Linked DNA regions of Astyanax mexicanus. The protein of the gene in region 1 purifies or fractionates together with the protein of each later gene. This does not show direct contact. Links are inferred from orthologs where the notes say so. Each region holds a gene or a part of one and is shown on either strand. Other genes may lie near its edges.

Region 1 (3,757 bases):
ATTCTGGGAGAGGGATGGAGTGACGGACCATGGCGCCGTAGAGACCGTACTCGGCCATCACGCTGCTGCGGCCCCAGCACTTCTCCCGCTTCCTCCACTTCGCCCGCCGGTTCTGAAACCACACCTGGTAAAAAAAAAATGCAGTGTATTTAATTTACGCAGTACATTTATGTAGTGCTCATATTGTGCTCATTGTGTGCTTACTAATGCTACTTCTTTTTAGTACGTATAGTGTGTGTGTTAAAGTTCTCATAGTGTGATCATAGTGTGCTTCATGAAAACTCATAGTGCATTTGTTGGTTAAACAAGGTGGTTTCATAATGTGCTCGTTGAGTACGCATAGTGTCCTCATAGTATGCTCATGTAGTACTCATTGTGCGCTCATTGAGGTCTGATAGTGAGCTCATTGAGTGCTCAGTATGTGTTCACTGAGTACTCATAGTGTGCTCATGTAGTATTCACTGTGTGCTCACTGAAGGCTCAGTGTGAGTTTAATGAATACTCATAGTTTGTTCATAATGTGCTCATTTAGTTCTCATAATGTGTCAATTGAACAGTACTAATATGATCACTGAGTGCTTATTGTGTACTTATTGAGTGCTCATAGTGTGCTCACTGAGTGCTCATTATGTAGATACTGAGGGACCGTAATGTGCACATGGTCTGCTGTGATAATATATGAACCAGTTAGTAACGCAAAGCACCTTTAATGTGTGTGTGTTTGGTGTGTTGATGTGTGTGTGTGTGTGTGTGTGTGTGGTAGGAGAATGTGCCTACCTGTATTCTGTCCTCAGGCAGTTCTGTCTTCATTGCCAGCATCTCCCGTGCATAAACATCTGGATAATGAGCTTCGTTGAAGGCTTTCTCCAGCTCCTCCAGCTGGTGTGACGTGAACACAGTCCTGAAATCAATGTTACAGATCAGCACACACACACACAGTGACTACTCTAAAATAATCACTAATGCTCTCAGCTAGACTCACCTATGTCTCCGTTTCTTCCTCTTCTGTGAATTCGCAGAGTTTTTCCCATCAGCGCGGTCCCCCGAGAGACAGTCGTCATCTGAAAATCAGGGAGAGTGTTTAGTCAGACACACACACACACATATAATTTTACAAAACATACTTAATATACTGAGAGATTTCAATCTCCCACATATGATATAGCCAATATTTGAATTTACATGATTTTTGAAAGAGGAACTTCCCAAAAACAGTTGTTTAAATTAATCTTATCATGTCCAACATGTCACAGCCTTCATAATCTTGGTTAAAACATAGAGGGACAAAATAATGGACAGAACATTTAACTAATTATTTAAAGAACCTCAGCACAATAACAACTTTTTTTAAAGGTGCTTTGTAGAACTGCATATCTAAGACAAGAATCATGAAGGAAGTTTTAATTTAAGACTGTAAGGCATTCCATGGTATATAGGGCTGAATAGTGAAGTAAGTGTTATATACCCCTTTTTTATTGTTCTCTTACTACAACATTTAAAAACCTGCGTTTTAGAAACCTAAAATTAACCTTTAATGAAATATTAAAGAGCCTCAATATAAATATATTTTTTCGTTAGGGTTAATCTGCATAAACTATTTTAAGCACTATTACTGTTTTTTATGGACTGTTTTTTTCAGCACCTACACAAGTGAACAGCGCCCAGGTGCTAAAATAAGCCCGCAGTACAGAAAACGCTGAATATGTACAGCTCGATATTTGGTGATATTTCAGATATACGATTATGATCCGACACAGTAGCATTAAACGATAATATAACGTGCAAAATAGTAATGTAGTACTGCATCTCTTAAGCATATACTATAAGGGCAGCAGCTCCACTATTTGCGCATCACAATAAAAAGACAGATTTATTAATATAATAAAAAGCCTAAATGATGAATAATAAACTCTAATAAAGGAAGTAATGATTTAATTTGAAGTCGATTTAAATTCTCACTTTTCTCTTTTAGCCTCTCTGCCGGTCGTTTCTTTTTCTCTCTATTTCCCCCTTATTTGCTCTTTCCATATTCTGTCTTGTTACTTTCTGAATTCGTTTTATACGTTTATTTTATCACGTTCTTTACAGTTTTTAAATGGTTTGTTTTGGGGGATTTTTTTGTTTCTATTTAGTTTTCCCTTCTTTTCTTTAGTCATTTGCTTTTTTCGTAGTTTTTTTTAGTTTTCCGTTTTCATTATTTATTATTTCGTTTTTGTGTCTTGTTCTACTTATTATTTTTTATAAATTTCCTTCTTTATTCTTTGGTTGCTTTTTTTCCGTTTGTTCTTTTTTTCTGTTTTATTCTGTATACATCAGTATACATTAATTTAATTTAACACTGGTAAGTATAATTATAAAAATAGCATTTATTGTATTATTTATTCTTACTGTGTCATTAAATATGTAGTTAAATATGTATTTGTATTAAATACATGTATTGTTTAAAATAGAAAATGTAAAACTTTTTTTTTCCATTGTTTTTTAAAATTCAAAATTTAAGAAAAAACAAACAAACGAATAAATAAAAGCCTCGCGCTCTTACCGGAGAACTCGTCTCGCGCCTCCACGTATGGTGGCTCGGCTCGCGCCTGCAGCAGCGGTACGTGAGCCGGTATGAAGCTGCGCGCGCCCTGATGCTGCTGCTGTTGCTGCTGGTGGTGGTGCTGCTGTTGCGCCGCAAGGCTGCACAGAAAGCCCAGGCCGAGCGGAAACGGGAACGCGCCCACCGCGCCGCCCGGGCACGCGCTCCCCACTGCCGTCGGACACGCGGCCACTGCCCCGCCGCCGCTCGCGCCGTCCGGGTCCAGTCCCAACAGGTCCGTGATAGCAAAACCTTTAGCGCGCAGCCCACCGGGCCCGTGCGCGCGTGTCTTCTCCATATCCCAACCGTCTGTTTACGCGCGCTTTACTGACTGTATGAAGGGCGGCTCGTGCCAGGGGGGCTCAATATATACCCCCCACGGGACAGCCGGCGACCAATCACCAACCAGCGATTATTTTTTTATTTTTCAATCCCGCGGATTAATTGCCACCAATTTCTGCTTTAAATCCGATAAAGATTTTCCTGCTGTCTGAACTCAGACTCCCTTTTCTTTCTCTTATGATTACATTCCATCTCAACAGCACTTTTAAACGATTTAATTCATGTATTGTTAATAATAACGACAATATAATAATAATAATAATAATAATAATAATAATAATAATAATAATAATAATCTTATTACAGCCTTTTAAATGGCACAACACAAAAAATATTTTAAGACATTAAGTTATTCCACAAAGATTTGTGCACGTAAATAATTATTTTAAAATCGGCCCATATATATATAAATTCGTGTTACCGCTAATTTTGATTGTTTTTTTTCTGCAATAAAAAACACTCCATTACCGTTGAAATATTAAAATGTTAAGCAAGTAAATTATCTATTTAAAAAAAATACAAAATATGGAAAAAACCTGTGTTTGGCACAGCACTTTGATCGATCGTCCAGTCTGTCAGGTTTTGCTAAACAGAATTAAACAGACATGATAAGTTAAGTTCAACATACAAAAACAATAGAACATATTCGGTACCGAACATACTGATGCGCATTAAACAAGTGTAAATATAATTAAATCAAGTGTAAAAAATACACGTATTATAAACATGTTATTATGTGTGATATTAAAACAAATCTTTGCGTATGTGTTGAGTGTTTTTCTGGGCAGTCACCATTTCGTTGACTTTTTAACAAGCGCCAAAAAAAAATGAATT
Region 2 (3,757 bases), about 14 Mb from region 1:
TACTTAGTATCTCAAAATAGTTACTTAACATGTCATGATTATGACTGTCGACTATTCTAATAGTATCTAATAATTATGGCTTACTATCTTAAAATAAGGACTTAATATCTCATAATTATGACTTATTTTCAGGTGGTAGAATTGGTTTCTATAAGAATGAAGTCCAACCATGTATTTGAATGCCAGTCTGTCCACAGTGACTGGGTCTCTCTGATCAGATCTTATGTCAGGAACACCTGTGAGTATAATCTGTATTAGTAAATGTATGAAGTCTTTAGAAGATCTCTACAACAACTTCTTTATATTTATCTTTTCTTTCTATAATAATTTAAATATTTTAAATACGTTTTCTGGCTCATGCTGAAGGCCTGTACCTGCTGCAGCATGTCCTCGGCGTCGTGGCTGTTTGCTCGGCATTGTGGTCCATGTGGGGCTGAGTGCAGCGGCTTCAGGTAAATTAAAGGTGGGTCTGAGGATCAGCGAGGTTAAACTAATGTCGCCTTCAGCGCCCTAGCTCATCCCCTGTTACTGCGCACCACGGGTACGACTAAATTAATATAAACACTCTGATAAAACACAAGAGAGTAACAGCAGTTTTACTGACACGCCCCCAGCACTGAAAGTTTATTTTCAAAAACAGGTAACTTAAAAATAATTATTTTTGTGAGGTTCTTATGCGCTTACAATATGTATATATATTGATTATAAATCATGAGGAAGATGGATTATCACAAGCCATCAAACCAAGCTGAACTGCTTGAATTTTTGCTCCAGGAGTGGCACAAAGTCATCCAAAAGCAGTGTGTAAGACTGGTGGAGGAGAACATGCCAAGATGCATTTTTTTTTTTGCATTATTTGAGGTTTGAAAGCTCTGCATCTTTTTTATTTTTTTTTGTATTTTGACCAGTTCCTTCTGCAAATAAATGCTCTAAATGACAATATTTTATATGGAATTTGGGAGAAATGTTGTCCATAGTTTACAGAATAAAATACCATTGTTTATTTTACTCAAACATATAATGTTACCTATAAATAGCAAAATCAGAGAAACTGATTTGTGCCACAGATAAATATTTATGTCACTTTCTTTACAATATTATTATTATGATGTTAGTATTTTTAGTATTTTATATTTTTTTAATGCTCTTTATAAGTGGCGTAAGGATTATAAAATTCCCTTAAAACCGACTGACCGCAGTAGCCTGTGTGTTCGGTACTGCGCATGTGCGGCGCGTAAGATCCGGGCTTGGGCCAGGATGAATGCAAATTTCAAAGATGGCGGCGGAGGGAGGAGGGAAGGAGATGAACGAGATCAAAACTCAGTTCACGACCAGAGAAGGCGCGTACAAACTCCTCACGCACTCCGAGTACAGCCGCCCCAACCGGGTGCCTTTCAATTCGCAGGGCTCCAACCCCGTCAAGGTCTCGTTTGTCAACGTAAACGACCAGTCCGGCAACGGCGACCGAATCTGCTTCAATGTGGGCCGGGAGCTGTATTTCTACATCTACAAAGGCGTCCGAAAGGTAAACAGCGCCGCAGCTCTCGCTCTTTTCTCCCTCACGCGCGCAGTTAAAGTGTCAGGTTGCAGTTCGCTGAAGGCGAAAGTTGATGGAAGTCCGGAGAAGTCTGGAGGTCGTTGTTTGGCTGCTTTCCCTCGGCGTTTTTACGTGGACTGCTTGCTAACGTTAGCTTGCCTTGGCTAATTTAGCTCTTGGAGCCAGCCGACCGACAAGCTGTCAGTTTGGGCCTAACGTCAGGTACACCTGTCATGGGCACCGCTGGACCAACACTCTCCGCTCCTTCTGTACCCTTACGAGTCTCCTCAAACCCCTGCCTGCTTTTAAAGCGAACTAGCCTTGCTAATTTAGGCGTAACTAATAATTACGCACTCGTCGTGTAGGGATTAACATTAGCAGCGCGATCATGTTGGCACAGAGCTATAGCAGGGTCGTCCACTGTGAGCTAGGCTAGCTAGCGTTAGTTTGGTTAGCTTGGCTTCAACTTGTTTCAGACGAATGAATCAGCTGCGATGGAGAGCTCAGAGCTCCAGATCGCCCATTTTTCTTCATAAACTCGTGAGAGCTGTGTGTCACGCTGGTGACTGCTTGTTTATCAGGCAGATAGTTAGTTAGTTAACTTGTGTATGAGTGTGTGTGTGCGTACTTAGAGACAGAGCAATAACGTTAGCTAGCTAACTATGTTTAAAAGTCCGGGATATGGTCCTTTTAATGTTGTTTTCCAGAGTAACCAGGTATGCCTAAGTGTGAAATGATAAGGCTCTGTGTTGTATAACTGTTGTTTTGATATTTTTGAAACAGGCTAATCTCGTTGGTCTCGTTGTTTCTGCATTTTTATGTGGATTATCTATAGTTTGAGTTTCAGGTGTTGTTGAGTGTGCTAGCTAGCGTTAGCTGCGTGAGCCAGCTACTCGTTACTGGTAGACGTTATCTAACTTAGCTAAGTAAGTAGTTCGTTTGAAAACAAACGGGGAGGACGGATAATGTTGCATCATATGTTTGCAATTTTTCAGGTTTCATCAGTAATTATCAGTTTAAATAAAAAATAAATAAAAAAAAAAGTTGCAAGTGTTTTTAACATGTTTTGGTTGGATACAGATACACTTATTTACAGTGGGGGGCCGGATACGGAAGTTGTTATACTATTAGTCCCTTTATAAAGATTTACAGTCAGATGTAATGCTATAGGAATTAGGGGTGGGCGATACGGCACTAAAATAATATCACGATATTTCATGGTATCATCACGATAACGATACTCTTGAATATATGACGAAATACTGAATTTAAAAAATGATTTCAAGAATACAGACTACTGCATCAAAATGAATATAAAATGTTCTTATTGCATATGATATGTAATGGCACACCCCTAACTGAGATATTGAAAAATACAAGAAGTTTATCAGATTTGTAACAGAAGTCAATGATCCAGAATGTCATGGCACTAATATTGCGCTCTACATATATCCAGTATTAAATAAAAAAAATGAATGATACTGGACAGATATAATCTGTCTCTAGTAGATATACAATGGGAAATGAGAACAGTGTTAATTTTTCTTTTGCTTCTGGTTAATACAGTGTTCTTGCTGAGAAGGACATTTCAAAAGGATTTAGACAGAGGAAAACAACAAGAGTTCCAGGCAGTGAACTAAAGTGTTTACTAGCTTATTTAGCTATTAATTGTGATGCAGAAACTGTTTGCAACATTATGCAATTACATGGCAAGCAGTGGTTTATATTTGTTTGTTATATCAACAGGGACCCCTAGTACCTGCTACATTTTGGGGTGTATTATCAGTCATTTGTGTATACCAGTCTTAGTTCAATTTGAGAATCACTGTTTCTGCATGATTGCCTTAGGAAGTTATAAATGAACATAAATTATGCTGTCCTGAGACAACGAAAGAAATGTATATTTTTTAGTAAGTAAATTAAATCAAATCTGAATAGCCATATCTACTTTTTACATTTACATGTTTTTTTTTTTATATATATGAAATGTAAAAAAAAGAAAAATATATATATATTTATGTTTCTATATGCAATATATAGAACTGTTAACCCCATTTATTCCCCAACTTGACATGTAAAGGAAAATGTCTGATGATAAAAAATAAAGGAGTGATCTATTAATCCAAAACATTTGTTTGTTGCCTCAGGGCAGCATCATGCCATAGAGGGTTAAGGACTGCGCTTGTGATTTGATTAGGCGTTTATAATCAGTTCATTTAT

The links. The genes of interacting proteins can lie anywhere in the genome.
Region 2: the proteins of vsx1 (region 1) and wdr20a purify together in Homo sapiens (affinity purification with mass spectrometry; 3 studies listed by BioGRID and IntAct, with this or other methods). This does not show direct contact. The link is inferred for Astyanax mexicanus from reciprocal best matches to the Homo sapiens genes VSX1 and WDR20.

What each region holds. Positions count from the first base shown.
Region 1 is NC_064421.1:31,041,904-31,045,660, reverse strand, and holds the start of vsx1 (visual system homeobox 1), read right to left. Parts: upstream 2,931-3,757; 5' UTR 2,880-2,930; coding exon 2,543-2,879; intron 1,062-2,542; coding exon 983-1,061; intron 902-982; coding exon 778-901; intron 125-777; coding exon 1-124. UniProt on the Homo sapiens protein: Binds to the 37-bp core of the locus control region (LCR) of the red/green visual pigment gene cluster. May regulate the activity of the LCR and the cone opsin genes at earlier stages of development. Dispensable in early retinal development.
Region 2 is NC_064421.1:44,987,481-44,991,237, forward strand, and holds the start of wdr20a (WD repeat-containing protein 20), read left to right. Parts: upstream 1-1,251; 5' UTR 1,252-1,261; coding exon 1,262-1,525; intron 1,526-3,757. Other genes in the region: uncharacterized protein LOC103042329, read right to left, coding at 169-236, 375-417. UniProt on the Homo sapiens protein: Regulator of deubiquitinating complexes. Activates deubiquitinating activity of complexes containing USP12. Anchors at the base of the ubiquitin-contacting loop of USP12 and remotely modulates the catalytic center of the enzyme.